Linked DNA regions of Rattus norvegicus. The protein of the gene in region 4 purifies or fractionates together with the protein of the main gene of each other region. This does not show direct contact. Links are inferred from orthologs where the notes say so. Each region holds a gene or a part of one and is shown on either strand. Other genes may lie near its edges. The genes, in order: Cenpc, Otud3, Usp10 and Pten.

Evidence for each region.
Region 1: the proteins of Pten (region 4) and Cenpc purify together in Homo sapiens (affinity purification with western blotting; 3 studies listed by BioGRID, with this or other methods). This does not show direct contact. The link is inferred for Rattus norvegicus from reciprocal best matches to the Homo sapiens genes PTEN and CENPC.
Region 2: the proteins of Pten (region 4) and Otud3 purify together in Homo sapiens (affinity purification with western blotting; 3 studies listed by BioGRID and IntAct, with this or other methods). This does not show direct contact. The link is inferred for Rattus norvegicus from reciprocal best matches to the Homo sapiens genes PTEN and OTUD3.
Region 3: the proteins of Pten (region 4) and Usp10 purify together in Homo sapiens (affinity purification with western blotting; 4 studies listed by BioGRID, with this or other methods). This does not show direct contact. The link is inferred for Rattus norvegicus from reciprocal best matches to the Homo sapiens genes PTEN and USP10.

The regions. Positions count from the first base shown.
Region 1 is NC_086032.1:22,375,434-22,382,499, forward strand, and holds part of Cenpc (centromere protein C), read left to right. Parts: intron 1-2,383; coding exon 2,384-2,651; intron 2,652-3,205; coding exon 3,206-3,352; intron 3,353-4,558; coding exon 4,559-4,641; intron 4,642-7,066. UniProt on the Homo sapiens protein: Component of the CENPA-NAC (nucleosome-associated) complex, a complex that plays a central role in assembly of kinetochore proteins, mitotic progression and chromosome segregation.
Region 2 is NC_086023.1:156,440,141-156,447,752, forward strand, and holds the start of Otud3 (OTU domain-containing protein 3), read right to left. Parts: upstream 5,202-7,612; coding exon 4,984-5,201; intron 934-4,983; coding exon 785-933; intron 1-784.
Region 3 is NC_086037.1:64,914,285-64,921,350, reverse strand, and holds part of Usp10 (ubiquitin carboxyl-terminal hydrolase 10), read right to left. Parts: intron 6,576-7,066; coding exon 6,476-6,575; intron 5,010-6,475; coding exon 4,832-5,009; intron 1,758-4,831; coding exon 1,592-1,757; intron 559-1,591; coding exon 414-558; intron 1-413. UniProt on the Homo sapiens protein: Hydrolase that can remove conjugated ubiquitin from target proteins such as p53/TP53, RPS2/us5, RPS3/us3, RPS10/eS10, BECN1, SNX3 and CFTR.
Region 4 is NC_086019.1:240,104,894-240,111,959, forward strand, and holds the end of Pten (phosphatidylinositol 3,4,5-trisphosphate 3-phosphatase and dual-specificity protein phosphatase PTEN), read left to right. Parts: intron 1-142; coding exon 143-309; intron 310-2,742; coding exon 2,743-2,967; intron 2,968-4,935; coding exon 4,936-5,121; 3' UTR 5,122-5,437; downstream 5,438-7,066. UniProt on the Homo sapiens protein: Dual-specificity protein phosphatase, dephosphorylating tyrosine-, serine- and threonine-phosphorylated proteins.

The DNA.
Region 1 (7,066 bases), on a different chromosome or scaffold from region 4:
CCTTAGTCCGTTGTGATCTGATGGAATGCATCGGACTATTTCTATGTTCCTGTATCTGTTGAGGCCTGTTTTATGACTGATTATATGGTCAATTTTGGAGAAAGTATCATGAGGTGCTGAGAAGAAGGTATATCCTTTTGTTTTAGGATGAAATGGTTTATAAATATCTGTTAAATCCATTTGGTTCATAAGTGCTGTTAGTTTCTATATGTCTCTGTTTAATTTCTGTTTCTATGATCTGTCCATTGATGAGAGTGGGGTGTTGAAATCTCCTACTATTATTGTGTGAGGTGCAATGTGTGTTTTGAGCTTTAGTAAGGTTTCTTTTATGTATGTAGGTGCCCTTGTATTTGGAGCATAGATATTTAGCATTGAGAGTTCATCTTGGTGGATTTTTCCTTTGATGAATATGGAGTGTCCTTCCTTATCTTTTCTGATAACTTTTGGTTGAAAGTCGATTTTATTCGATATTAGAATGGCTACTCCAGCTTGCTTCTTCTGACCATTTGCTTGGAAAGTTGTTTTCCAGCCTTTCACTCTGATGTAGTGTCTGTCTTTGTCTCTGAGGTCTTTGTCTTTTTATTGGGAAATTGAGTTCATTGATGTTAAGAGATATGGAATAGGGATTGTTGTTTCCTGTTATTTTTGTTGTTAGAGGTGGAATTATGTTTGTGTGACTCTCTTCTTTTGGGCTCGTTGTAAGGAGATTACTTTCTTGCTTTTTGTAGGGTGTAGTTTCCCTTCTTGTGTTTAAGTTTTCATCTATTATCCTTTGTAGGGTTGGATTTGTAGAAAGATATTGTGTAAATTTGGTTTCATCATGGAATGTTTGGTTTCTCCATTTATGTTTATTGAGAGTTTTGCTGGATATAGTAGCCTGGGCTGGCATTTGTGTTCTCTTAGGGTCTGTATGACATCTGTCCAGGATCTTCTAACTTTCATAGTCTCTGGTGAGAAGTCTGGTGTGATTCTGATAGGTCTGCCTTTATATGTTACTTGACCTTTTTCCCTTACTGCTTTTAATATTCTTTCTTTATTTTGTGCGTTTAGTGTTTTGACTGATATGTGACGGGAGGAGTTTCTTTTCTGGTCCAATCTATTTGGAGTTCTGCAGGCTTCTTGTATGTTCATGGGCATCTCTTTCTATAGGTTAGGGAAGTTTTCTTCTATGATTTTGTTGAAGATATTTACTGGTCCTTTAAGTTGGGAGTCTTCACTCTCTTCCATACCTATTATCCGTAAGTTTGATTATCTCATTGTGTCCTGGATTTCCTGGATGTTTTGGATTAGGAGCTTTTTGCATTTTACATTTTCTTTGACAGTTTAGTCAATGTTTTCTATGGTATCTTCTGCCTCTATTCTATCTCTTGTATTCAGTTGGTGATGCTTGTGTCTATGACTCCTGATCTCTTTACTAGGTTTTCTATCTCTAGGGTTGTCTCCCTTTGTGATTTTCTTTATTGTTTCTATTTCAGTTTTTAAATCCTGGATGGTTTTGTTCAATTCTTTCCCGTTTGTTTATGTTTTCCTGTAATTCTTTCAGGAATTTTTGTGTTTACTCTTTAAGGGCTTCTACTTGTTTACCTGTGTTGTCCTGTATTTCTTTAACGGAGTTATTTATGTCCTTCTCTGTCATGATCATGAGATGTGACTTTAAATCCAAATCCTGCTTTTCTTGTGTATTTGGATATCCAGCATTTGCTTTGGTGGGAGAACTGGGCTCTTATGATGCCAAGTAGTCTTGATTTCTGTTGCTTAGGTTCCTGCACTTGCCTCTCGCCATCAGGTTGTCTCTGGTGTTTGCTTGTTTTGCTGTCTCTGACAGTTGCTTGACCCTCCTGTAAGCCTGTGTGTCAGCACTCCTGTAGACCTGTTTTCTTTCAGCCGGATCTGGGTATAGATACTGTGGGACAGCTCCAGGCACAGGCAGAAACTGGAAAGGGTCCTGTTCCAGACTGCTAATGGGTTTGTGTGTCCTGAAGTCTCCAGGAGGGTCAGTCAGAGCAGAAGAGTTGATTTTTACCTCTGCTCTCGTGTGTGTCAGTGCCCCTGTTGACTAACTTTCAGCTCTGGGCACAGGCAGAAACCGAAAGGGTCCTGTCCCTGAGGGCAGTAGGCAAGTTTCTCTTGGGCCAGGAATGTCAGCAGAAGTGGTGGTCTCCCCTGAGCTCTCAGGATTGTCTGCACTTCTGAGAGTCCAGCTCTTTCCCCCACGGGATTTGGGTAGAGAGAGCTGTGGGACCGGTTCAGCTCTGGGCGCAGACAAATTTAACTTACAAAATTGGTATGTGTATTTATATGTAAATGTAATGACACTGGTATTTCAGTGAGCCAGATCATTTGAACAAACATTGTAATTTCAAATTGTCGTTGAATCTTTTAGGTTCTGTTGATGGAAATTCTTCAAAGGAGAATGAATCATCAATTTTATATCCAAATAGAAAAAAACAGACTAAGAGAAATCACGTATCTGAGAATACTGAGAAGAAACCTGTTCCATCGAAAAGAAAGAAGAAAGAGATCAGCTCAAGAGAACTGAAGTCTTTAAATGTAAAGGGTTCTGGAGGAAATGATGATATTTCTACTTCCCAGAGGAAGCCGTTGCAAAACATTGACGCAGATCCAACTCAGAAGAGCCTTCATTGTTCTGGGTAATTTTTCTTCTATTTACAGTATAGCTGTCTTTTCTTTTTCTTACACAGAATTTGTGGTTTGGCTTTGTTATGCATTATTCACTAAGAGCAAGCATAAAGGACTTTGACAAAGTTGTTCTTAAATTTATGCTCTGCAGTTAGTTAGATGACATTTAGATACATTACTACCCTGAACTTGGCTCCTCATTTGGGAACTGGAAGTGATAGGTATTGAGTTGTATAGTATATATCATAGATTAATGCCACTTGGTGTCACATTTCTTATTAGTCTCAGCCCAGGTTTGTATTTTCTCTCTCTCCCTCTCTCTCTGTCTGTCTGTCTGTCTGGTTTTTTGTTTGTTTGATTGTTTGTTTTTTAATTTGGAGTCTTTGTAAACTCTAGATACCTTCTTGAATCTGATTCTAAATCTTAAGTTTACAACTGAACATGATGAACTATACTTTCTATAGCCAATTTTATATTGCTTGTATCATCATTTGTATATTGTTTCTAGAAGAGAGAATGTTTGAAAATAAATTTGAAAAGTATAATTTTAAACTTTTTTTCATAGACCTACCAGAGGCTCTGAAGATCAAAACAGTGATATGATATCACAGAATGTTCATTTAAAGACTCGTAGTGAGCAACATAGAAGCAAGACACAAATGGAATCTACTTCAAATTCGGAAGTGTGTAAACATTCAGTGTGGGAAGAAAGGTGTGTATACAGTGCAGTGATAAAGAAATCACTCAGTCACTATTACCCCTTCAGTGTGGGAAGAAAGGTGTGTATACAGTGCAGTGATAATAGAAGCCACTCAGTACACTAGTTACCCTTCAGTGTACCAGGTTACTCCCACATATCATGTGACTCTTGGTGCTGTCTTGCAAACATGCATTACTTTATAGCTGTGTGAGCCAGAAATTTGGGCAAGACTTAGGTAGCTGGGTTAGGGTTGGAGGTGTGTTTCTCTTTTGTATCCCTTTGAAGACTTGACTACAACTGGAGGATCCATTTATGTTTCCCATGGCTGTTGGCTGTAGGTTGCAGTCCTTTGATGTCTTTTGGTAGTCAACCTTCGTTTCCTGTTTTGTGGCAGTTGACTTCCTACAAAGCAAATGGTCTGAGGGAAGAAAGTATCCATAAGGGAAATCAGTGCCTTTTAACGACTTAAGGTCATCACAAGTCCAGACCACATTCAAGAAAAGGGAAATGAGGTTCTATCTTTTGAAAAGAAGATTGCCAAGGAATTTGTGGATTTATTGTTAAGACATCTACTAACACTGAAGAAGTGAGATTAATCCACTTGTATTATCTATGAACTGTTAAAAACTTTAGAAATGGCAGACTAGTAAGTGAGAGCAACTGCTCAGCCATTGAAGGGAAGACGAAGGTTCGTTACTGTGTGAGGGACTATGATTCTTACGTAGAGGAGAACAGGTTAAGTAGCTTGGGCCCTGGGCCTCCTTATGGACCCTAAACTGACCTTGAATTTTCCATCTTCCTGCCTTCGAATGCTAGGATTGTAGGCATATACTACCAAGCTTAGCTAGAACCTTTTAAATTCATGGATTTGTTATAAGTTTAATCAAGTCCAATAGCAACATTCCTTTACAAATAGAAGAGAAACCAGCAAGCATATCCTAATTTTAAAGAGACAGTCTACAAAAAAATGAAATTAAACCTGTAGTAGCTGTCTGTTTGCCCCCCCACCCCTCTCTCTTTATCTCATTTAGATAGATTTGACTCAATTATGGGATCAAATCATAGTCCTTGCTTTATACTGCACAGAAATTCATTCTTGATGATCTACTGCATCACTTTTAATTTCTTAAGAAAGAAACATGGTAGTTTTAACATGATCATGACATTTAGACACACAGAAATGCATATTATAAAGCACAGATTTGTTTTGTTCTTAAGTGGACCTTCCAGGTTCAAGAATCTTGAAATGCCTGGACGCAGTAATTCTGAAGTGGGTGACGAAAAGGACCAGAAGAGTTTGGGTAAGTTATTATTTTCTACTATCTTGGTTTCTAAGGAACTATGAGTATAAAGTATTCTGTGCTTATTTAAATTTTCAGTAGTAGCAAATGTGGATCTACTCCTAACTTCCTACTTCCAACTTTATAGTTGGAGATTTGTTGAAATGGTCTAGATGGGTAAAGGCATCTGCTACCAAGCCTGACGACCTGAGTTGAATTCCCTAGAATCCACATAGTAAATGGAGAGAATTGATCCACAAATTGTCCTCTGCTCTTCACAGACATTCCTTGGCATGTGTGTCTAATAGTTCCTGAAACAGGATGGGTGGATAGATGGACAGATAGACAAATTTGTTAAGCTGATATGGAAGTACTTAAAGCAGTAGTAATTGCATGTTGATTGTTAATGGAGATAGGCGATCAATAAATTGGGTTCATTATATAGTTTTCCTCTATTTTAAATAATTTTGACTTTTCGTGAATCAATACAGTTTTACACGTTTTTTGTTTTTTGGTGCTTGAATATAATGTTATACTATCTTTTTATTACTAATTCACTAATTCTTTTTTTTTTACATTTTTACATTTATGTATTTCTTTTTAAACTTTAATACTTTCTATATTCTTTGCCTTTTATTTGGTAAAGAAATAGTGAATTTGCCTGAGTAAAATTTTTAATAGTTTTTCCTACATAGTATTTTGTAATGTGTCCTTTTAAAAACATATTTTTAAAGTATTAAATATTTTGGATTTATTTTATGTTAATGAGTGTTTTGCCTGCCTGGATGTCTGCACCACATGTGTTACTGGTGACTTTTGATGTCAGAAACGGGCATTGGATTCCCTGGAATTGGAGTTAACAGATGGGGTCGTGACCTATAATGTGGGTGCTGGCTGGACTGTGTTTGTGTTTGTTCTATTGATAGTAAATTTTGGAAGGCAGATCAAGAGGAGTCACTGATTGCTTGTTATAAGATTGGTGGTTATAAGAAATAAAAGTGTTAGGAAGACATTAAGGATGTTGGTCTAAGCTTCTGAGACAATAGTATTGTTCTTACCTGACAGAGGCTTGTGAGAGGAGGAGCAGATATTTGGGGGAGTGGAGGACACAGAATCGTGGATTTGAAAGTGGTTAGTGTGATAGTACTATGATCATCTGTATTCTTTTGATAGTGGTCTGATGAACATTAGGAGAGGTGATGTTCGCTGCAACAGCGCTTGTGGCTTCCCTCATAGTCTAGAGAATCCTTGTTATACACCTTGGATAAAGCTAGTTTTGTCATTTCTTTTAGATGTTTCAGCTTAATGGAGTGTTCTTTTAAAATTATATGCTTATAGTATTCTTCATTCTTTGGGTTCTGTTATGTTTTCTTGTCTATTCTGGTTCTGTTAGTTTGGGTCCTTTCTTTTGGCTAGTTGGGTCAGGGGTCTGCCAATCTTGTTTTTCCCCTCCGAGACCCAGCTCCTGGATTTGTTAATTCTTTGTTTTGTTTTCTTTGCTTGTATTTCATTAACTCCTGCTCTGATTTCTATTGTTTCTGGCCATAGACTGGGTTTGGGTTTGGCTTGTTCTTGTTCCTCTAACTTTTTGAGTTGCATCTTTAAGTTATATTTGAAGGCTTTTTTATTTCATAATGTAAGGCATTTCCTTCACAGAACTGCTGTGAATGTGAGCCAGCAGTTTTGCTGTGTTATGGTTTCCTTTTCATTTACTTCCAAGAAGTTTTTTTTTTTTTTTTTTATTTCTTCTTTGACCCATCAATCATTCAGTTATGAGGTCTTTGTTCTTCATTAGTTTATTGGAAGTTTGTTTGCTGTTTGTTTTAAGTTTTATTGTTGCATCATGGTCATACAGGCTGTAGAGAGTTATTTCTATCTTTTGGAATCTGTTAAGAGTTTGTGTGTGTGTGTGTGTGTGTGTGTGTGTGTGTGTGTGTGTGTGTGTGTATGTGTGTATGTGTGTTTGTGTCCCAGGATATCTCTGTTAGAGAAAATTCGACGTAGAATGCATATTCTTTTGTGTTTAGATAGAATAATCTGTAGATACCTGTTAAGTCTGTGATCAGTTAATTCTGATATTTCTGTTTACTTTTTGTTCAAATGACCTGTCCATTACAAAATGTAGGATATTGAAATCATGGATAGATGTTAACTAGTTTCTTTTATTCCAGAAGTTCACATTCTATGAAATTGTGTGCATCAGAGTTTTGTGCACATATATTTAAGATAGAGATGTCTTCTTGATTAATTCTTCCTTTGATTAGAATAACGTGCTCTTCTTTTATTCTTCTGATTATTTTAGTCTGGAGTCTGTTTGGTCATATATGAGGTCACTAACACACTCTGTTGATTCCTGGTTGCATTTGCTTGGAATACCTTTTGCTACCCACTTACTTTCATGGGTGTCTAATTTAAAGATCAGTTGAATTTTGTGTAGAAAACAAAA
Region 2 (7,612 bases), on a different chromosome or scaffold from region 4:
CAGGGACCTACCATGCTTCTCATTACCCGGCATGACCCCTGAAGGACCCAGGCCCACAGGGACCTACCAGGCTTCTCATTACCCGGCATGACCCCTGAAGGACCCAGGCCCACAGGGACCTACCATGCTTCTCATTACCCGGCATGACCCCTGAAGGACCCAGGCCCCACAGGGACCTACCATGCTTCTCATTACCCGGCATGACCCCTGAAGGACCCAGGCCCCACAGGGACCTACCATGCTTCTCATTACCCGGCATGACTCCTGAAGGACCCAGGCCCCACAGGGACCTACCATGCTTCTCATTACCCGGCATGACTCCTGAAGGACCTAGGGCCCCACAGGGACCTACCATGCTTCTCATTACCCGGCATGACCCCTGAAGGACCCAGGGCCCCACAGGGACCTACCATGCTTCTCATTACCCGGCATGACTCCTGAAGGACCCAGGGCCCCACAGGGACCTACCATGCTTCTCATTACCCGGCATGACCCCTGAAGGACCCAGGCCCACAGGGACCTACCATGCTTCTCATTACCCGGCATGACTCCTGAAGGACCCAGGGCCCCACAGGGACCTACCATGCTTCTCATTACCCGGCATGACCCCTGAAGGACCCAGGCCCCACAGGGACCTACCATGCTTCTCATTACCCGGCATGACTCCTGAAGGACCCAGGCCCCACAGGGACCTACCATGCTTCTCATTACCCGGCATGACCCCTGATGACCCCTGAATGACCCCTGAATGACCCCTGAAGGACCCGGGCCCACAGGGACCTACCATGCTTCTCAAAGGGGATGTCATCTTCCACAAAGGGCTCAAAATCTTCACGCTGCCTTATCATGTAGTCCACGGTCTCCTGTCGGTGCTTCAGATGGTTCCGAGAATGGCCCTCCAACTGGTCGCCCAGCGCTCTGAACAGGCAATTGCTGTCAAAGCAAAGACACTGGTTAAGATCTTTCAAAAACTGACTGAGTTGATCTAACATGGCCGGCTGTCCTTAGGCTTAGGGGAAGAGACAGCCTGGCTCTTCAGACCAGAGGCTGAGGGGAAGTGCTCTAGGGCACACTCCAGCCTCATCACCCTCGTGAGAGGCAGCAAATCAGGTTTCTCGTCCCTGTTTACCAGCTCAAAAAAGAAAAAAGAAAAAAGAAATCAAGTTTCTCAGGGCCTCAGTGGGTTCGGGGGTGGAGTTGATAAGCAGCACCTCAATTCAGAGCACAGACCTCACGAATCACTCCAGGCCTAAGGTCTAAAACTGCCATTACGATGTCACACCCACCAATACCTTTTGAACCAAGCCTCACTAAAACTTCCCAGCTAGACATCACTCACTGAGTCGCTAAGCGGCAAAAACAGCAGAAGCCTGCACCTGTCCAAGCTAAGAGCACAGTGGCAGGAGTCGAGGAAGAAGCACCTGAACAGGCCGGAAAAGACACAACCCCAAACTCGCTCACCTCGTCAGAAGGGAACAACAAGGCCACTGTTACACATCTAATCTGTTCTCTAAAATTAAACAGGGCTAGTGAGATGGCCCGTGGGAAAAGTGTTGGGTCCAAGACGCAAACCCAGGCAACCTGACCTGGCTCTCGCCATGGCTCTCCCAAACATTAACACCAAATGTTAGCTGGACTTAACCTGCGTACAAGTAACAGTTTTTATCTGCCAGCCTTTACTTGAGCCCACTAAAGACAAGTCAGACACAGTGCAATAACGTGTTTTCCTGATGGGATTATAAGGCAGCGACAGAGGAAACATAACAAACACTACAGCAACCTGGGTTCCCTTAGGAAGCCCTGGAAACACACTGCAGATGCCACCAAGCCTAGCGCCGTGGCCCTCGGGGCCTCCCGGAGATCCAGCTGGTCCCTGAGTTCATGATCTCGCCATCGCAGGGCAACCAGGCTGCTCGGTGCCCACACTATGGACGTCTGAGGTCAGTCTGTGTTGGGAGGAATATCTTGCTAACTGTTGATCCTTGGGAACATCCTTGGCCTGTGGGCACAGATGGCAGGACCACCTCCCTCCTCAGCAGCTGTGACAACCAACAGCGTCTCCAGGCAGTCCAGTTGTCTCCTGGGAGGCAAAACCGTCCCTGCCTGAGAACCACTGCACTTTAGGGATACAGAGATGTAAGGTCCTGCATTAGAAAAACAACCAATTACAGAACACTTCAAGGAGCATGCCTGTAGCAAGTCACCATCTTGAACACTTCAAGGAGCATGCCTATCGCAAGTCAACATTTTACACCTTTCAAAACAGAGACAGTAAAAATTGGTAACTATTTTTTTGTATTAGCAACAGCACTATATCTTAACCAACACTACTCAGCAAATAACACATGAAATAGTCTGCTAGTCTGGCAGTGCTGGCACACGCTTTTTCCCCAGCACTCGGGGGGCAGCGGCAGGTGATCTGAATCCGAGGCCACCTGGTCTACAGAGTGCACTCCAGGGTAGCCAGAGCCACGAAGAGAAACCCCATCTAGAAGAAAAGAAAGATCTGTGACCCTTCCAAACCACCACCTACACAGAAAACGCCATTCACTGCGACAACTGATGGAAATAACATACAAAACTAGACCAGCAAAGCCAGCCCCGGGATGTCACCCCAGCAAAGGTTTGTACCCAGCATGGAGCCACCTAACAATGCCAGACAACAGACTGGGAGGTGGGCTCTGCCCCTCACTTCCCTGTACTCCTACCCTGACTGAACTGTGTTCCCATTCTACTGCAGCACTCGGAGCTATCGGACACACGTGCTCCTGGCCTGCCACCCGGCACTCATCCCTCTTGTTCCTTTGAACTGTTCCAGCATGGCTTCCTGTGAGAGAAACCTTATACATAGAAGTCGCTGGCTCTGTTGGCTAAGGGAGGAAAGGTCTTCCTTGGCACCTCAAAGCATGTCAGCCACTTCTTCTCAATAACACGACCATGGTCCCTTACTAAGAACATAACAGCCTCCTTTTCCCCCATATCTGCTCCCCAATTATAGCCCAGAGGCTATTAAAGCCTTGAGACCATTTCAGGGTATCCGTAAGCTCAAAACAAAGGCCTCGCTCTAACTTCTTCATCCTTGCTCTCTCATAAGTATACTGTAGTTCTCAAGAGCCTGCCAGCTCACTGGGCAAGGTAGTGCAGTGGCCTTAAATCCCAGCACTCAGGAGACAGAGGCAGGTGGATTTCTCTAAGTTTGAATTGGTCTACAAGTGGTGAATTCCAGGACAGCCAGAGCTACATAAAGAAATCTTGCCTGACTTTAAAAAATTAAAAAAAAAAAAAGCTACTATCTCAAAGCATGATGACTAATGGGTTCACGTCTGTTCACTCCTGTGTCTTTAAATTATGAATATGGTTAATACTGAGCTATGGCTCATACAATGTGTGTATGCCTGCTTATTCCTCAGCAATTTTTCAGAATACAAAAGGGCCCCCAAACCAAAATATAATACTGTGAACCCTACAGTATTATACAGCTACAGTTTCTCATTGTCATCTTGTTCCCAGCACGCCCGTGCTAGCAATCTATGAGGATTAACTGAAGAAGTCTGCTCCCCGAGGGGAAGAAGGACAAAAGGAACACTCCCAAAGTTGCTCAGAACCTCACGTAAACCTCATGGAAGTCCAAGTCTGCTTTGTTGCTCTTGAGCAACTGTGGAGTTCCCATTTCCCCAGCCTATTTCTTTGACACCAAGAAACCATACTCAGTCTGACAGATACAACGTAACCATTTGCAAAGACGGTCACACCTGGGTCCACTGCATTCAACTTTGACGCTTTTGTTTTGTTTTTCAAGACAAGGTTTCTGTGTGTGACCACCCCAGCTCAAATTCAGAGATCTACTGCCTCTGCCTCCCCAGTGCAGGGAATAAAGACGTGCGCCACCTCGCCACCTCGCCCGGCTTCACTTGATGGTTTGATGTCTATAGCAGTTTGTGCTTCTACTGGAGCTAGGTGGCCTCCCCGGACAGTTTTTAATCCCTGAAAAACAAAAGCATCCTGAATGCCTTCTATGACCCAGGCACTGTTCCGGTTGGTAGCTGAATACAATTAAATTCTAATTGCAACTTAAGCAAAACACCTATCCAATTTGTCTGAAGCTCTGAAGGCAGGAGAGACAAATGGGATTAACTTATTGAATCTCGATCAATAAAAGTCAACGTAATATGAAATGAAGAAAACACTTTATGTAGGGGTCGGAGGCACACACCTTTAATCCCAGCAGACGCTATGAGTTTAAGGGCAACCTGGTCTACACGGGATTCCAGGCCAGCCAAGACTACATAGGGAGCCTCTTTCTCAAAGGGGAAAAAGAGGGGAAGAAGAGAAGAAAGAACAAGAGAGAAGAGCGAGAACACAGGAACAAAGGAACTTTCCCCAATTTCTAACTAAGGCTGTCGAGCTTTCTTTGGTTTTGTTCTGTTTTTTGAAACCCTGTCGCATCAACTCTTCCACAGCTCAACCTGACCGTTCATCGCGAACACAGTAACAGTGCCTCTTGCAACAACACACTTAGCAGCCAGTTCCTCTCCACGGTTTCCTGTCTACACCACGCTCCTGGACACACGTCCGCGTTCCATTAAGTTGCTTTCCCTCACCTTCCTCCGTTCCCAGTTTCCAGCTGCCACTCTTCTATCGTGTTTCCCGAAACAGCTGGCCGGGGACTCTCATTCCTTTTACTTGGGGAACCCAAAGCATGGACAGCAAACACTGGGGAAGCTACCTTCAGCTCTCCGCCCTCGTTACCCCTGTGCTGAAGGGGGCGATGACACCCAGGAAGGCCAGCATGACACCGAGTGGGACCGAGGTCCCTTCCCATTCGGCTTCATGACAGCTGCACCTCGAGGTCACCTCTCAGACCGGCTCGGACATTCGGGGGACCCTGCTGCAGCCTTCCACCAAGCCTGGCCCCTGCTTCCCTCTCGGAGACCGGCCCTGCGCATCCCCAGCGCCGCTTCCCGCACTCCCGGCCCGCCTCACCCGTCCCCCGGCACCTCCCGCAGCTTCAGTCCCAGGGCCTGCAGTTGGTTGGCGAAGCTCACAAACTCTTCTTCGCAGCCGCTGCTGCCAGGCTCCGGCCGGTTCCGCCGCTCCTTGGCCAGCGCCCGGCGCGCTGCCCGCTCGTCCCGCTTGCGCTCCGCCTCGGCTCTGCGGCCGCCGCTGCCCGGCCGGCTCTTCGCCGCTTGCTTTCGGGACATGGCTGCGGCACACGGCTCGCCGCGGAAGGAGCCGGAGCCGCAGAGCGCGGGGCCGCAGCCTCAGCCGGCCACCCGGCGGAGCGGCGTAAGGAGACGGCACCTGGCGACAGCGGCGCGGCCACTGCGCCGGCGCGGTCGCCTGGCACCCAGGTCACGTGGCGATAGCTCCGCCCCCGGGGGGGCCGGACCAGCAGGCACCATAGAGAAAGATACGAGGGCTAGAGAAGCAACTGTCTTGGTTGGGTCTCTTCTGCCACCTCGTGGTGGGTAGTGCTCAGTGAGGCGCCGTAGGACCAGACAGGGAAGGTCAAGGATGGCTGAGGATGTCAGAAGAGAGGCAAGAACAAATGCAAAAATTCAAAAAAGATGGAAATCAAGACGGGTGATGAGGAAATATGCTTGTTTAGAATGCACAAATCCGAGTTCAAATACAAGCGCGCGCGTGCGTGCGCAGACCCTTTAAAAACTGAGCCAGGGAGATAACTCAGTCCATATAAGTGCGTGCTCCACATGCCAAGTTCGACCGGAGTTCGGATCCCCACCACTCAGTTTAAGAAGGGTGGGCATGTCAGCGAGCCCCTGTGATCCCATCACTGAGGAATCAGAGACAGTCGACCGCACTCGCTGGCCAGCCAGTTTAGCCAATCAGTGAGCTACAAGTTGGCTTACACTTCCAGATCACAATCATTGGAGGCAGTCAGGACAGGAGCTCAAGCAAGGGCTGGAACCTGGAGGCAGGAGCTGATACAGAGGACATTGAAGGTGCTGCTTACTGGCTTACTTCCCCTGGCTTGCTCACTGTTGTGTTTTATAAAACAGCGCTATAATGCGGCCGAAGGGAACACCTCAGTGGGCCCAAGCCGAGGTGTTCCTCTGAGGAATCACTACCATGCCACAGGCCTAGAACAAAAGGAAGTTCATTGAGGGAAGAGAAGGGAACCTGGGAAAGGGGTAGAGACAGAGAAAGGAGGGGGACAGAGAAGGACAGAAAGGGAAGAGAGAGAGGGGAAGCGAGGTAGAGACCGGTCAGGGACATGAGAGAAAGAGAATGTGGTAACTGGTGGTCTTCGAACTTAGCTGGTGGAGATGCAAAACTGTTGCTAGGTAGTGTTGGGCGGAGCCCAGAGGAACTGCTAACACTCAACCTGCTTTCTTATAGAATCCGGGACTACCCTCCGAGGGATGGCGCCACCCACAATGGGCTGGACCCTCCCCATTGATCACTAATTGAGAAAAGCCCTACAACCTCATGGAGGGATTTCCTCAACTGAGGAAGCCAAATAAACCTTTTCCTCCCCAACTTGCTTTTTGGTCATGATGTTTCCTCACAGCAATAAAACCCTAAGACACCCTGTCACAAGAAATAAGATGGACCACGAACTCATTCTGCCTATGGTTACCCACATAAAATATCAAGTCAACAAGGTCAGTCACCATCTCAACGGGAAGCACTAATTTAATGGATTATTTAAAAAAAAGAGAGAGAGAGAGAGAGAGAGAGGAGGGGACATGAAGGGGGGATGCCATAGAGAACACCGGGAGAGTGGGAGAGAGGAGCTGAGAATGTATAAAATCAAATGCATTTTTTACATGTATGAAATTGTCAAAGGTGAGGTACAGGGCTGGAGAGAGGGCTCAGTGGTTAAAGGCCCTTGTGATTCTTTTTTTTTTTTTTTTTTTTTTTTTCGGAACTGGGGACCGAACCCAGGGCCTTGCACTTGCTAGGCAAGCGCTCTACCACTGAGCTAAATCCCCAATCCCGGCCCTTGTGATTCTTACATAGCGTATCTGGATTCAGTTCCCAGAATGTAAGGGTGCTTCACAGCCATCTGTAACTCCAGTTTTAGGGGAGTTGGTGCTCTCCTTTGACCTGCACAGCCTCTGCATGCACACACACACACACACACACACACACACACACACACACACACAAGCAGAGAGAGACACACACACACGGTGAGCCCTCCTTGAGAGAGATGCTTCTGTGTGTCTCTGTTTTTTGTTTGTTTGGTTGGTTGGTTTTTGGTTTTTTGTTTGGTTTTTATATAGGAACTTCGACTCCAAAAGTTAAGTAACTATAAGGGCCACACAATTGAGAAGCAAAGCTTCACTCTGACTCTAGAGCCCAGATGTTCTGTTACTCCTGTCCTTCCCCTGTAAGCCAAAAGAGAGAGAGAGAGCAAAAAAGAGCCCTTCTGTCCAATAATCGGGGATCTCATTCCAGGATGACCTGGACTGGTAGACCTGGACTGAAGCTATTCCTGGGATACACAATTTTCTGTTTCAAACTGAGAGTGTGAGAAAAACCTGGACAGTTGTTTACCGTAAGCCATGCGTGCTCATTAGGGTGTTAAGGGACCGGTAATTATGTCTCTCTCATTCTGGCTCCCTTTGTCTGAAGCACTCTCCTT
Region 3 (7,066 bases), on a different chromosome or scaffold from region 4:
AAATCGCTGTAATAAGAGTGCATGGCCAGCCTGGTCTATATAGAGAGCTCCAGGCCAGCCAGCACTTCATACCGAGACCCTGCCTTAAAACAAAAACAAAATATAATGGCTCAGTGGTTAGGAGCACTGGCTACTCTTTCAGAGAACTTGGGTTTGAGCCCAGCACCAACACAGTAGCTGGCAGCCACCTGTAAGGCCAACGCCCCTTTGGGCCTCTGTAGTCCGCCAAGCACACAGTGCACACTCCATACCGGCAAACCATCCCTAAGTCAAAGTTAAAACTAAGGAAGCCACCTTGGCGAGCATTCAGTATAGAGACCCACAAATGTCAATAAAGCTAAAACAAAGAGTCCTAACTGGTGACCAGGCGGTGACAGGCTGTGGGGACTGCAGCAGGCACAGGCCGGCATTACCTCTGCTGATCTCCAAGTCCACAGGGTACTCGATGTTCTTGACGAGCTTCTGGCATCCGCCCGTCTTCTCATAGACGAAGCGCTTCAGGTGGAGCACAAGGACAGGGGGAAGCTTCTCCAGAGTCACTCTACGGCTGACTTCAACCTGGGACAAAGTAGCCTGGGTCACAGGCCCGCCTGGCTGCAGCAGCCCCCCTGTGGGCTTCCACAGCAACTCCCAACAGCTCCCCAGCCATGCCTGTACCCCCATGGACCCCTGTAAGGAGCCCATCTGTGGCCTCCAAGCGAAGTCTTTGGCTATGTGGCGACACAATGGCCGGAAAGACAAGCTGAGTGCAGAACGGCTGGAGCTGGCATGACCAGCCTGCGTCCCTTTAGTGCTTTCAAGGCTCCTGAATCTTTTAAAACATCCTAAAGCAGCACCAACAATGAAACTTAATGCAGTGTAAGTCGGAAGATTGCGGACGGCCCTGCTGCAGGATGAGTCTCTCTGCCCACCTGCAACTGTTCCCGGCTACGCCTGGTGTTAGGGTTTCTTTTGGTTTTCTCCACCAAATGTATCTTCAGTTGCTCACTCCTTACTTGACCCTGTAGCCTCTGCACTCCACTGTTCACAGCTTTCCAGTACCACGAACTCTTCAGAAAAGCGCCACCCTAACTACCCAGCATTCATCCTGCCTTGTGACCTCAATGCCAGTCTGCAAAAGACCTGAGAGACAAGACGGCCTCCCCGCAGAGCAGAAGAGCAGGCCACTGAGAGCCAGACAACAGCCTCTCCACAACAACAAGGCCAGCTCCTAACTGTCCAGGACGGGACACTCAAGACTTTATCCTCGTCATCACACTGAATAGTCGCCTGACTGTCCCTAATGATCAATGCTTTTGCAACACAGACGTGCCTGGAACTCCCTTCACATCCTAACTCTTCTGCTGGAGGTAGGCTGGCTGCAGACACCAGGTGGACTGAGGAAAGGAGACACGGAGCAGGGTCAAGGGCAGAAGGGAGATAATTCCCTCAGTCACGAGAGCCAGAGCTGCAGAGCAGCTGGGGGGCCATATGGTTCAACCGCTCCTTCCTGACAACCCGGGGCTTCTCAGTAAAGCAACTGCGTGAGAGGCGGACTCAAGTCAGCGTCCAAGCATCTAGAAGGCTCCTGGTCAGCTGTGCGGGAGCATACCTCCTGCTTGGTCTTGGTGGTGTAGCCCTGGACAGACTCTCTTGCCACCAAGCTTTCCAAGGCATCCTGGACTGTGCGAATCTTGTCGGACTGGATGTCCAACTGCAGTGTGAAAAATGGCTGCAGCGTGGCAGATTCTTTGGAACTCTGCTGGTAAACCACAGACCTAAAAATGCAACGGAAAACACAGAAGAGTAAGAGGCCACTGTCTGTCATTTTCCCTTAAGATTAACTGACAGAGAAGGAATCAATACTCAAGTACGTTTACTCAGTATCACAGGACCAGGGACAACAGAACAGCCAAAACCACCCTGAATTTAAAAATAACTCCGCTGACTACCAGACCCTGTGATTAGCAATTGATCTGCACATTCTCCCGGCTTGGCTGAGGGGCTTCGACTTCCAAACTCTTCACTTGCACAGCAGAGCACAGCACGCACCAGCTAACAAACTCAAGCAGAGTGGGATGGGGAGTGTTTAACTAAGTGTCACAGCCTGTTCTAGTGAAATGGGGACGTGGGGGGATCCCCAGGGGAGCAGGACTTTTAAGGCTGCTCTCCTGCTATAAAAACATCAGGAGGAGGAAGGGTAACAAGCTAAGGATAAAAACCACGTTAGCGATCCGGGAAGAGAGGTGAGCAGCCTCGCAGCTAAGGCACTCAACCTTGTTTTCTTACTTTTTTTAATTCATCTTTCTTTTCCTCAGTTCTGAATAAAAACCATAAGTATGTCTCATCTCTCACTTAACCTCATCCAGGGAACGTTCTGAGACTCAACAAAGCAGCCTGAGTCCTAGTTTATGAGCAAAGCAGAGCTGTGGGAGGAAACTCCAACTTAAAGGGACAGATAGGCACCCAGCCGAGACCCTTTCAGAGTCCAATGCCCCAGCCTTCCTCCAGAGTGCCAGGCAATGACTGACACTCCTAGGGTTCCCAAAAGGAAGTTGAACAGCATCAATGAAATTAAAGCAGGGTGGGGTGGCGCACTCCTCCGATCCCAGCCCTGGGGCAGTAGAGGCGGACAGATCTCTGAGTTCAAGGTCAGCCTTGTCTACAGAGTGAGTTCCAGGACAACCAGAGCTACACAGAGGAACCATCTTAAAAAAAAAAAAAAAAAAAAGTAAGTGCAGAAATCAAGACCCTCTTGACTCCAAAACCTTTCATTCATCAGAAAAGGACCACCCCCTCCCCCCAAAAAAGGGTCTCTCTAGGGAAACTAAAAACTGCAGAAAGACAGTGACTTGGGGCCGTCCCTGGTCAGAATGAAGACTCTAATTCTGTCTGAAATGCAGTTCAAGTCATCAGGTCATCCGAAGTCCTCATTAGCTGGGTGCTCAGAAGGCTGAAGCAGGAGGACTGCCATGAGTTTAGGCCAACACGGGCAGTAGAGACCTTGCCTTAGATAAACAAAACAAAACTGGAAAGAACTCCTTGCCTAGGCCCAGGGTGCTGCTGGGATGGACCGTGCTTGCTGGTGCCCATGATGCTGGGTTCTAACCTCAGCACCTCATAAGCTAGGGTAGGCTGCATGCCCCTGTAATCCCAGCACTTGGGAGGTGGGAGAGCAAGGATGACTAAAATTCTCAAAATCATCCTTGGCTGTGGCCACACCTACCGTTGAGTGTAAGGACAGTCTGGCATACATGAGACCCTGAATAAAATGAAAATAATAATTTCTTATCTCTGCTTTTGTTCTTTGAAAAAACCATGAAGTTGACCAGAAAAACCTCACGGAAGCTACTGAAGCCAGGGCCAGCACAGAGGCTGAGGTGAGAAGGGCAGCCTGGCTTCTTCTCTGCTGTCACCCTTAGGGAAACAGCCCATGTTGCCCCTTAGTGCAGTGTGCTGTGGCAGCCTGTAGTCTGCTGTCCCTCACTGCCCTGACTCCTAACTCGGGGCTGGATGGCAAGAGCAGCAGAGGGTAGCTTCGTTCCTCTGTTGCTCACCGACCTGCCTATTTATTCCTCCACCGTGGCTCGACTCAGGGGGGCTGTGTCTGCCAAGATGAGTCACAGTGGCGACGTGTAGGCAGGGATTCCTAGACCATACCAGATCCATTAGCCCCATGAAGAACACCAGAGGAAAAGGGGGCCTGTGCCATGTCAGCGTGGCTCAGCTGGGTCCTCAGCCCTCCCCATGGGGGCCACAGAAGCAAAGAGAAGCTTCTGAGGCAGGGAGTGCAGACTCTGCTGAAAGGAGCTCAGTCTGCTACTGAGTGGACTCACTCATTTGGCACTGGATGCCTGAGAAGAGACTGGTTTCCAATACAGCATCCAGGAGATCGCACCCATTGAAGCCCACTGACTCATCTTTAGACGATAACTCGGGGCTTCTGAAGTAACTCTAAAGTCTTTCAGAAGGATGTCATGAACGAGCAGAAAGCTGTCTGAAGGACCCCAGGTCACATGTCCTCCTGGGCCAGTGTCTCCCTCCGATCCTGTCACATTCTAGCTCATGAGGCTCTGGCCTCTATTCCGTCTCACCCATTCAGTTATTTCCTAGATAAACAGTCTATGTGTCCATCAAAAAGCACATGGATAAAGCCACTTAGGTGGGAATATGTAACGGAATATTACTCAGTCTTGGAAGAGGAGATCCTAACATTCGTCAGAACAGGGATGGACTTGGAAGACATCATACTAAATGAACAGAGCTGGACACAGGACAGCCATGTGTGCTCACGCTGCTATAGATTTAAAAGCAAAGTCACCACAGTGATGTGGGGGAAGAAAACAGGAGGTCCAGGACACAGGGCACAAAGCATCAGCCCTCGGGGTACGCGGGTATACGGAGGTGGGGGGAGGGGCAGAGCACGGCTGCTTTCATCTGACAGGGAGAGGGGCACCATGGAAGCGGGGTTTCTGTGCTGACCAGTTTTCCATGGCCAACACTCCACTACCTGTGTGCATAACATCCTTCTATAGACTTTAACACATGCACTTAATAAAAAGTACAGTGATACAATGCCTCCAGTCGGACAGGAGTCTCTGTTACCAGAACAATCAAGTCAGTTTGGCTTCCTGACTTCAAGTGATGGGCCAGCACCCTTGGGGGCACTGAGGCACACAGCCCCTGAGAGCCAGGCCTGAGGAAGAGCGAATGAAAGCCAGGCAAAGCAGATGGCAGGAGGAAGGATACAGACACTCACACTCTCTCTCTCTCTCTCACACACACACACACACACACACACACACACACACACACACACACACACACCTTGAGAACATGGAAAAGCACAAACCTGATGTGTCCACCGAAAATGCCAGTGATAGGCGTCTGAACGAAATCCGCCTGCCGGGTGACAGACGTCTTGTTCTTGGGACCCACTTGCTCCCACTCGTCCTCACTGCCCTCGCCTGTGTCTTCCAGCTCCTCATCCTCTATCAAGTGGCTTCCGGGCCCATTAGAAACAGAGTGCTCTGAAAAGAAGAGGATCTGCTGAGTCAGCTTTCCTCAGAAACAAAATATCCAAGCAAGTGCAATTCTGTGAGAACTGGCTAAACAGATTCATGAGGATCCGCTGAGAGGCTCAGCCGGCGAAGCCATGCTCTCCAGACCTGACAGGTGAGTTTGATTCCTGGGACCACATGAAGAAGAGAACTGACTCCTCCTACAAACTGTCCTGACCTTGTCACCCTCTCCAGTATACGTACGTATACATACATACGTGTACACACATACGTGTACACACACACACACACACACACACACACACACACTCTAAAAGAACCAAAATAACAACAACAAAAATGCAAAAAGCAAACAAACACCCCAAAACCAAAACAGGTTGTCAAGCAGTGGTGGCCCATACCTTTAATCCTAGCACTTGGGAGGCAGAGGCTGGCAGATCTGTGAGTTCAAGGCCAGCCTGGTCTACAGAGTGAGTTCCAGGACAACCAGGGCTAGAGAGAAACCCTGTCTAGAAAACCACACACATAAAAAGATCTAGTTATGCTCTACACTTAAAGTCACGGTAAGCAATTAAAGCAGCCAGCCACTCTGGACACTGGGCTGCAGTGAGCACTGTGTGGTAGCCATGCTCAGACACCAAGCTCTGGAAATGCCAAGTGCGGCAGGGCACAGAGAGTTCTGGGCCAGCCAGAGCATCAGAGAAAGACCTTGTTTCAAAAACCAGAGGCATTCACATTCTTTGGACAACTGGAAAAATTTGAAGACACTCTGTAGTAAAAGTGACACGGGGTGAGACGCTTCATCCTCAGAGGACGCTCTCAGCACAGGACAAAATCTCAACTGCTTCCTCCAACTTCCCACCCCTAAGACAAGCGGGTACCCCGGAGTGAGCCTGTGCCCACAGGGCCTCCAGCCCTGTGTTGTGTTTTCCTGTGTCGCCGCTGGCATTTGAATGTGAAATGACCAAGGGCTCTGGAGCTCAACACTTGGTGGCACTGTCTAGGAAGGAAGGATATGGAGCCTTTAGTAGTAGAGGCTGGGGAAGTACATTACAGGGGGCTTGGTTCTGAGGGCTTAGGGCCTGGCTCTATTCTCTGTCCCCCCTCTGCTCCCCGTGTGTGGGTGAAATGTGGTCATTTAGCTTGCCACAATGCCATCCACTGCAAGGGGTGCTACCCCTCCGGAACCCAAGCCAGAGCAAACCCTTCCACGGCCTCAACCTCTCTCTCAAGTAAAAACTGGAGCAAAGCTGCACGAGGGGATACAGCTCAGGAATCCGAGCCTCTTTCTCACTACTGTGCTGGGTAACGGGAAGTAGCTGCTTATCTACGTAGCTAAGTGCTATCGGTGTATGCGTGTGTGTGTGTGCGCGCATGCCTGTGCACGGGTGTGAGTGTGTGCGCGCGCCCGTGTAGCATGGACACGCGACCTTTAAGCCGCTCTCAGGCAAACAGTCTCACACAGAAGAACCTACTTTCGTGCGTGGGTGAGAGAAGCTTCTTCAGGCTCAGCATCTCCTCGTGGAGTCCATTGAGGATGAAGCCTAGGTACTCCTCGGCGTCCTCCTGTCGGCCCTGAGGACAGACATGGTCACATTAATTCCAAATGGCTGGAGTGAGGCCCGTAGAAGCCCCAGAACCTACACCTCTGACGAACGTTCCAGACCAGCGCATGCAAAAATGTTCTGTCCTTTATTTTTGTAGCTGAATTCCTAAGCATAGAAATTACTTTAGTTTTAAAAAAAAAAAAGGCCAGGCACAGTTGTTCTCAGCATTTGGGAAGCAGAGGCAGAGGAATCTCTGTGAGTTCCAGGTCAGCCTGGGCTACATAGTTAGTTCTAGCCCAGTCAGGGCTGCAAAGTGAGACACTGTCTCAGGATGGATGGATGGATGGATGGATGGATGGATGGATGGATGGATGGATGGATGGATAGATGGGTGATTTTTTAAATGCTTTAAAAATACACCATAAATAAGACATTGAAGGCCACTTCCCAACACAACCTGAGTCACCATCCGCACTCACACTGTCATCCCTCACAGCATTCACACTCTGGGCAGGAACC
Region 4 (7,066 bases):
TTTCTACTGATTTGTTTTAGATAAGCAGTCAGTGTGAAGAATTTTGTGTATATTTCTGATACTTTATCATTAAAACAGTTTGTGATAATTTGTGTGTTGAAGACATTTCTTGTGGAGTGACCGTCTGTATGTACCCATGTAGATCCCCAGTTTGTGGTCTGCCAGCTAAAGGTGAAGATCTACTCCTCCAACTCAGGACCCACGCGGCGGGAGGACAAGCTCATGTACTTTGAGTTCCCTCAGCCATTGCCTGTGTGTGGTGACATCAAAGTAGAGTTCTTCCACAAACAGAACAAGATGCTCAAAAAGGTCTGTACTTCAGTTCCTCTGTGTAGAAATAGCCATTCCTTCATGAGTAACCACAGCCCTTTTGCTTAGTGCCTTTGGTTAGGAGATTAGTTTGTAAGGAGAGCCTTTCTCTGCCATCCGCTGCGCTGATTCCTGCTTTGCTAACCATGCACACTCTGCTATTGTGGCCGAGCCGAGACTGTAAGCAGAGCCGCCTACCCCAACCTCGGGGTCAGCTCTCTGCTTTGTTCTGTGATCTTATGCGACACAAGCCATGTTTCACCCGATTAGGTTTATGTTTCTTGAGACTATAGACTATTTTATATTTTGTTTCCCCATATTTACTGAGTAAGTTTAGACAGTATTACTTAGTTGAAAGAAATAGCTATGAAGAAGAAATAATTAAAACAAAGCGGGGGAGGCTGATAGGTTAAACATCCATGTTTAGGATTGCTGAGGCCTGAGACAGACTTGAGAAAAGGCAAAAGCTCGGCTGTAGCGCCCTTGGTGTGAACATTTGTCCTTGGTTAGTATCCTTAGTTGAGTGTGAACATGAAAATGAGCCTTAAGGTGTAGAAGGCTTAGCTGGTAACAGAGGAAGAGCAACTATTTCAAAAATTAAGTATTTGGTTTTTTTCTCTCTCCTAGTTTGTTTGTTTGTTTGAGACTGGGTTCTCTGTGTAGTGCTAGCTGTCTTGGACTTGCTTTGTAGACAAGGCTGGTCTCCAGCTCAGAGATTACCTGCCTCTATATCCTGAGTTCTGGAATTGAAGGTGTATGCTGTCACTGCCCGATATCTCCGACTTCTTATCAGACCCTGGCTCACATACAGTTGTGTATGTGCGCGCACGCGAGCAGTGGATACGCCTTTTCCGTCCTTGTCATCTTTTGTCAGTGTTTGTTTGGAGACAGACTCTTACTTTGTAGCCCAAGCTGGTCTAGAACTCACTAAGTGGCCCGGGTAAAGCAGTCTTTTCACCTTAACTTCCCAAGTGCTGTGATCATAGGCATGAAGCACCTCTCTTGGCTTTATATTGTTTGTAAAAATAGATAATTACCTCAGTGTCTCCTTGTAGTTTTAGAGATGTGCTGTTTCTTACTCCTGATCTCTGAAGATTGGATACTTATAATATATTTATATATCTTAGATTACATTCCATAAATTTCCATTTATTATAGCTTTTCCTTACTAATTACATGCCTGTTCTGATTTAAATAAAAACAGTTTTAGAAAATCAGTGCACATCAGTGAGCCACATTTTGTAAGTTTAAATAATATTATCTTGTTTTCCTCTAAGTAAAATACAATTGCCAACTGAACAACATTAAAATAATTGAGATCAATAAGGTTTTAAAAAGGCTGAATACACGTCTCAGCAGTTAGGAGCCCTGGTTCCTAGCAGGGGGAGAGGGGATGGGATAGGGGTTTCTAGAGGACCCAGGTTTGATTCTCAGCACCTATATGTTGCCTTACAGTTATCTGTAACACCAGTCTTGGGGGATCTGAATCCCTCTCTGGCTTCCACGGGCACTGGGCATATCTGGGCAAAACTAAAGTTGTCATAGGGAACTTAGTCTAAAGTTTCTAGGGCTTCGGTTGTTAGTTTCTAGGGCTTTGGTTGTAATGACACCTGATCTTTGTTTATATCTATATACATATAAACTCAGAACATTTTTAAAATTCCGTATTAGAATAGGAAATAGTTTTCTTAGGATTTGGGATCCATCCCATATACAGTCACCAAATCCAGTCACTATTGCAGGTGCCAAGAAGTGCATGCTGACAGGGGCCTGATATAGCTGTCTCCTGAGAGGCTCTGGCAGAGCCTGACAAATACAGAGCTGGATGCTTGCAGCCAACCATTGGACTAAGCAGGGTTCCCCAATGGAGCAGTTAGAGATATGAAGGAGCTGAAGGGGTTGCAACCCCATAGGAAGAACAAAATATCAACCATCCAGACCCGCACAGAGATCCCAGGGACTAAACCGCCAACCAAAGATAGACAGACCCATGTCTCCAGCTGCATATGTAGCAGAGGATGGCCTTGTTGGGCATCAGTGGGAGTGGAGGCCCTTGGTCTTGTGAAGGCTCGATGCCCCAGTGTAGGGGAATGCCAGAGCAGGGAGGTAGGAAGGAGTGGGTGGGTGGGAGAGCACCCTCTTAGGAGCAGGGGGAGAGGGAATGGGAAAGGGGGTTTCTTGAGGGGAAACCAGGAAAGGGGATAACATTTGAAATGTAAATAAAGAAAATATCTAATAAAAGAAAAGATAAAAGAGATAAAAGTAAGATAACAGAGTTTACATGATTATTTTTTATTCATAACATAACTTAGTGAATAAGAATATTCCACAAGGTGTTTGCCTTCATTTTAGAATATGGTTTATATGTTGACTATTTGTGGTACATTTTTAAATAAGTGAAATACATCTTTCATTTCTTTCTTTTCTTTGTAGGACAAAATGTTTCACTTTTGGGTAAATACGTTCTTCATACCAGGACCAGAGGAAACCTCAGAAAAAGTGGAAAATGGAAGTCTTTGTGATCAGGAAATCGATAGCATTTGTAGTATAGAGCGTGCGGATAATGACAAGGAGTATCTTGTGCTCACCCTGACAAAAAATGATCTTGACAAAGCAAACAAAGACAAGGCCAACCGATACTTCTCTCCAAATTTTAAGGTCAGTTAAAAGCATTCTGGGGTGGGAGGGTGTGTTTTCTTCTGACTGAAGGTGAAGACCTAGGGTTGTTGTAGTGTTGTTTAGTGTGTACTCCCGAGAGGTTATGCAGCCTTTCCTTTCTGCTCATGAGTCCACTTATTCTCTCGCTATTTCTTCTCTCCCTCACCACCTTGAGTCTTCCCCTTTAAATTCTTTTTTCTTTCTTTTTTTTTTTCCCTTTTTTTTTTTTTTTTTTTTTTTTTTTTTTGGGTTCTTTTTTTTCGGAGCTGGGGACCGAACCCAGGGCCTTGGGCTTCCTAGGTAAGCGCTCTACCACTGAGCTAAATCCCCAGCCCTAAATTCTTTTTTCATTCTGTTGTATTTCTTTTATTCACATGTAACAAACTCAACTATAGATTATATTATTATAACATAATAACAATGCTAATAAAAATAGAGAATGACATTCACATGTTAAGTGAACTTAGACCTAATTAATATTTCAATGCCTTTGGATCTCGAGTATGTTTTTAAGTTGCCTTTAGAATCCTCATTTTTCATTTTTTCCTTTTCCACAAATTGATATTCCTATCAGCCATCCGCTTTCTGATTTTTTTAGGTAGGGTCTTGGTATAATGGGCACAGGCTGGGCTTGAACTGCCATGTCTCTGCCTCAGCCTCATCTGGCAACTATTTGCTTTTAAAATGTATTCCTCTCTAGTAAACATTACTGTTTTAATGTTTCTCCGGCAATGTACGTCAGTGCTTGCCTAACATGAGTGATGCTGAGTTCAACACCAAGTACTACAAAACAATCAATAAAACAGTACAGTGTAGAAAAGTTACTGTAGATAAAGACTGTTTTCATTGTCACTGAACAAACAGATAGATCAAGGTAAGTGCTGTGAAGCCGGCAGCCGGCAAAGGCGGTCTGGTCAGGTGGGTGGTGGGTGTGTAGAGAGGGCGAGCACAGAGTGAAGTGAGCACACTTACACCTGTGAGCTGTGCACAGCTTGCAGAGCAGCTATTTGGACAACAGAGGAAGAGTAGATAAGAGAATTGAGGCATGCGTGAACTTGGTACCTCTCTGTGGCATTCAGAAGTCATTTCTACTGAGTCGCAGGGACCCGGTCTTGGTGTGAAGGTGTGGGGTGCCGAGCACAGAGAAGATGTGGTCGGAGTTGGCTTTAACCGTCCACCTCACTTCCTGAGTCGAGCCTGGACCGAGAACTAGGGAGAGGCAGCGGGCTCGAAGTGGCAGGGAGAGACAATGTGAGCCTGATGGGTAGTGCACATAGAAGGCGGGCTCACGCAATGGCAGGAGCAGTGCTGAATGAGTAACTCACTTGGACGGGGATTCTTAAAGCAAGGGTCAGTTATGAGAACAACTGAAAATGACCTGAATAATGGAAAAGAAAGTGTAGATCTCCTGTCAACTGTTCACCAGAGATTGTCCTTTAGCATGTTGCCTGGACTTCTGGGTTTTTGTTGTTTCTTTTAAAATGGAAGTACTTAAGGAGTGACTAACAGTGACTGCAGCATGGAAAGGCCACTGGTCCATCTGCGGACCACTAAGTGGTCTGTTAGCTTCCTCCATTCTCTCTAGAGGAAGATTTTAGAGCTAGTTGATCTTGTATACATGATTATTAATCAGTATTGTGTGTGTCACTAGTGTAAACATGGAGTTGTTTCAGAGATTGTAAGAGAAATGCTTTTGAAACGTAAGCACTTGTAAATTGAATTTTGTGTTTAGTGAGTCCATTGCCTTCAGTTTGCACTTTTATAGAATTATACAGTGCTTATAGCTGATGTGGTTTAAAAATAGCTCTCAACTCATCAGTGTGTCTTTTGAGTGCACAGTAGGCAGTTTTAAGGTCAATTGAAAAGCAGTGCCCTTCAGAATTCATTTTGTTATAGTACTTTAAGTAAATCTGCAAAGCAGGATGCCATTCTAATTGTTCACTTTCCTCTTAAACTGTCTTTCTCTAGGTGAAATTATACTTTACAAAAACAGTAGAGGAACCATCAAATCCAGAGGCTAGCAGTTCAACTTCTGTGACTCCAGACGTTAGTGACAATGAACCTGATCATTATAGATATTCTGACACCACTGACTCTGATCCAGAGAATGAACCTTTTGATGAAGATCAGCATTCACAAATTACAAAAGTCTGATTTTTTTTTTCTTATCAAGAGGGATAAAATACCAAGAAAAAAAACTTGAATAAACTGAAATGGACCTTTTTTTTTTTTTTTTTAATGGCAATAGGACATTGTGTCAGATTGCAGTTATAGGAACAATTCTCTTCTCCTGACCAATCTTGTTTCACCCTATACATCCACAGGGTTTTGACACTTGTTGTCCAGTTAAAAAAGGTTGTGTAGCTGTGTCATGTATATACCTTTTTGTGTCAAAAGGACATTTAAAATTCAATTAGGATAAATAAAAGATGGCACTTTCCCATTTTATTCCAGTTTTATAAAACGTGGAGACAGACCGATGTGTATACGTAGGAGTTTTTCCTTTATTTTCTGTCACCAGCTGAAGTGGCTGAAAAGCTCTGATTCCCAGGTTCACGTCCTACCCCTTTGCATTTGTGGCAACAGATAAGTTTGCAGTTGGCTAAGAGAGGTTTCTGCAGGGTTTTGCTACATTCTAATGCATGTACTTGGGTTGGGAATAAAGGGAGTGCTCAGAAAGGAGCGTTCTAGCTGGCTCTGGACCACACATCTCCGGCTCTTTAGTGCTCCTTTCTTTAGCATGTTCCACTTACTAATCTGCACATCCGGGAGATGGCCACTGTCCTGCTGTCTGTCTGTGCGTTTTAAAGAGCATATTGGTGCTAGAAAAGGCAGCTAGAGTGAGTACATTTGTATTGGGGTACAGGAATGAACCATCTACAGCATCTTAAGAATCCACAAATGAAGGGATATAAAAATAAAGTGGTCATAGATAAGAGACACAGCAACAGTCACTTAACCATACAAATGTCGAGGCTTTCAACGAAGAACGGGCTGGAAACAGAAGATTTGACAATGATTTACTCAGTAAGCTTTCTCAGTTGTAATGACTGCTCCATCTCCTATGTAATCAAGGCCAGTGCTAAGAGTCAGATGCTATTAGTCCCTACATCAGTCAACAACTTACATTTATTTTTATTAATTTTCAATCATATACCTACTGTGGATGCTTCGTGTGCTGGCTGCCAGTTTCTTTTTCTCATTAAATATTTTTTAATTCTTCACAGGAAATTTCAACTTGAGATTCAACAGTAAGCAGGTTTTTTTTTTTTCCTAGAGATTGATGATGCGTCCTCAGTCCAGTGGCTGTCAGATGTCCCGCCCTTTTGACCTTACACATTCTATTACAATGAGTTTTGCAGTTTTGCACATTTTTTTAAATGTCATTAACTGTTAGGGAATTTTACTTGAATACAGAATACATATAATGTGTATATTAAAAAGTCATTGTTTGTGTTAAAAAGAAATTAGAGTTGCAGTAAATTTTCAGCACTGCACGAATAATAAGGCATTTAAGTTTTCCAGTAGAAATTGTCCTACAGATGCTTTATTGACTTACTGTTGAAAGGATAGATCTCTTTCCATGTGCAGTGTTGTCACTTCGTTAGAGTGGTAGAGTTGGGATTAGGGCTTCAATTCCACTTCTTAAATATCATTATATGTTTGATATGCCCAGACTGCATACAATTTAAAGCAAGAGTACAACTACTATTGTAATGGTAATGTGAAGATACTATTGAAAAGGATCCCCGGCCCCCCCTGGGAATTTGGTGTCTTTCAAATTATATCTTGACCTTGACATTTGAATATCCAGCCATTATATTTCTTAATGGTGTGAAGTCCCATTTTCAATAACTTATTGGTGCTGAAATTGTTCACTAGCTGTGGTCTGACCTAGTTAATTTACAAGTACAGATTGCATAGGACCCACTAGAGAAGCATTTATAGTTTGATGGTAAGTAGATTAGGCAGAATGTCATCTAAAATATCCTTAGAAAATAATGTTGATGTATTTTCCATACCTCATCAGTTTCACTCAACCAATAAAGTTTTTAAAATTGTAACAAAGCTCTTAGGATTTACACATTTATATTTGAAC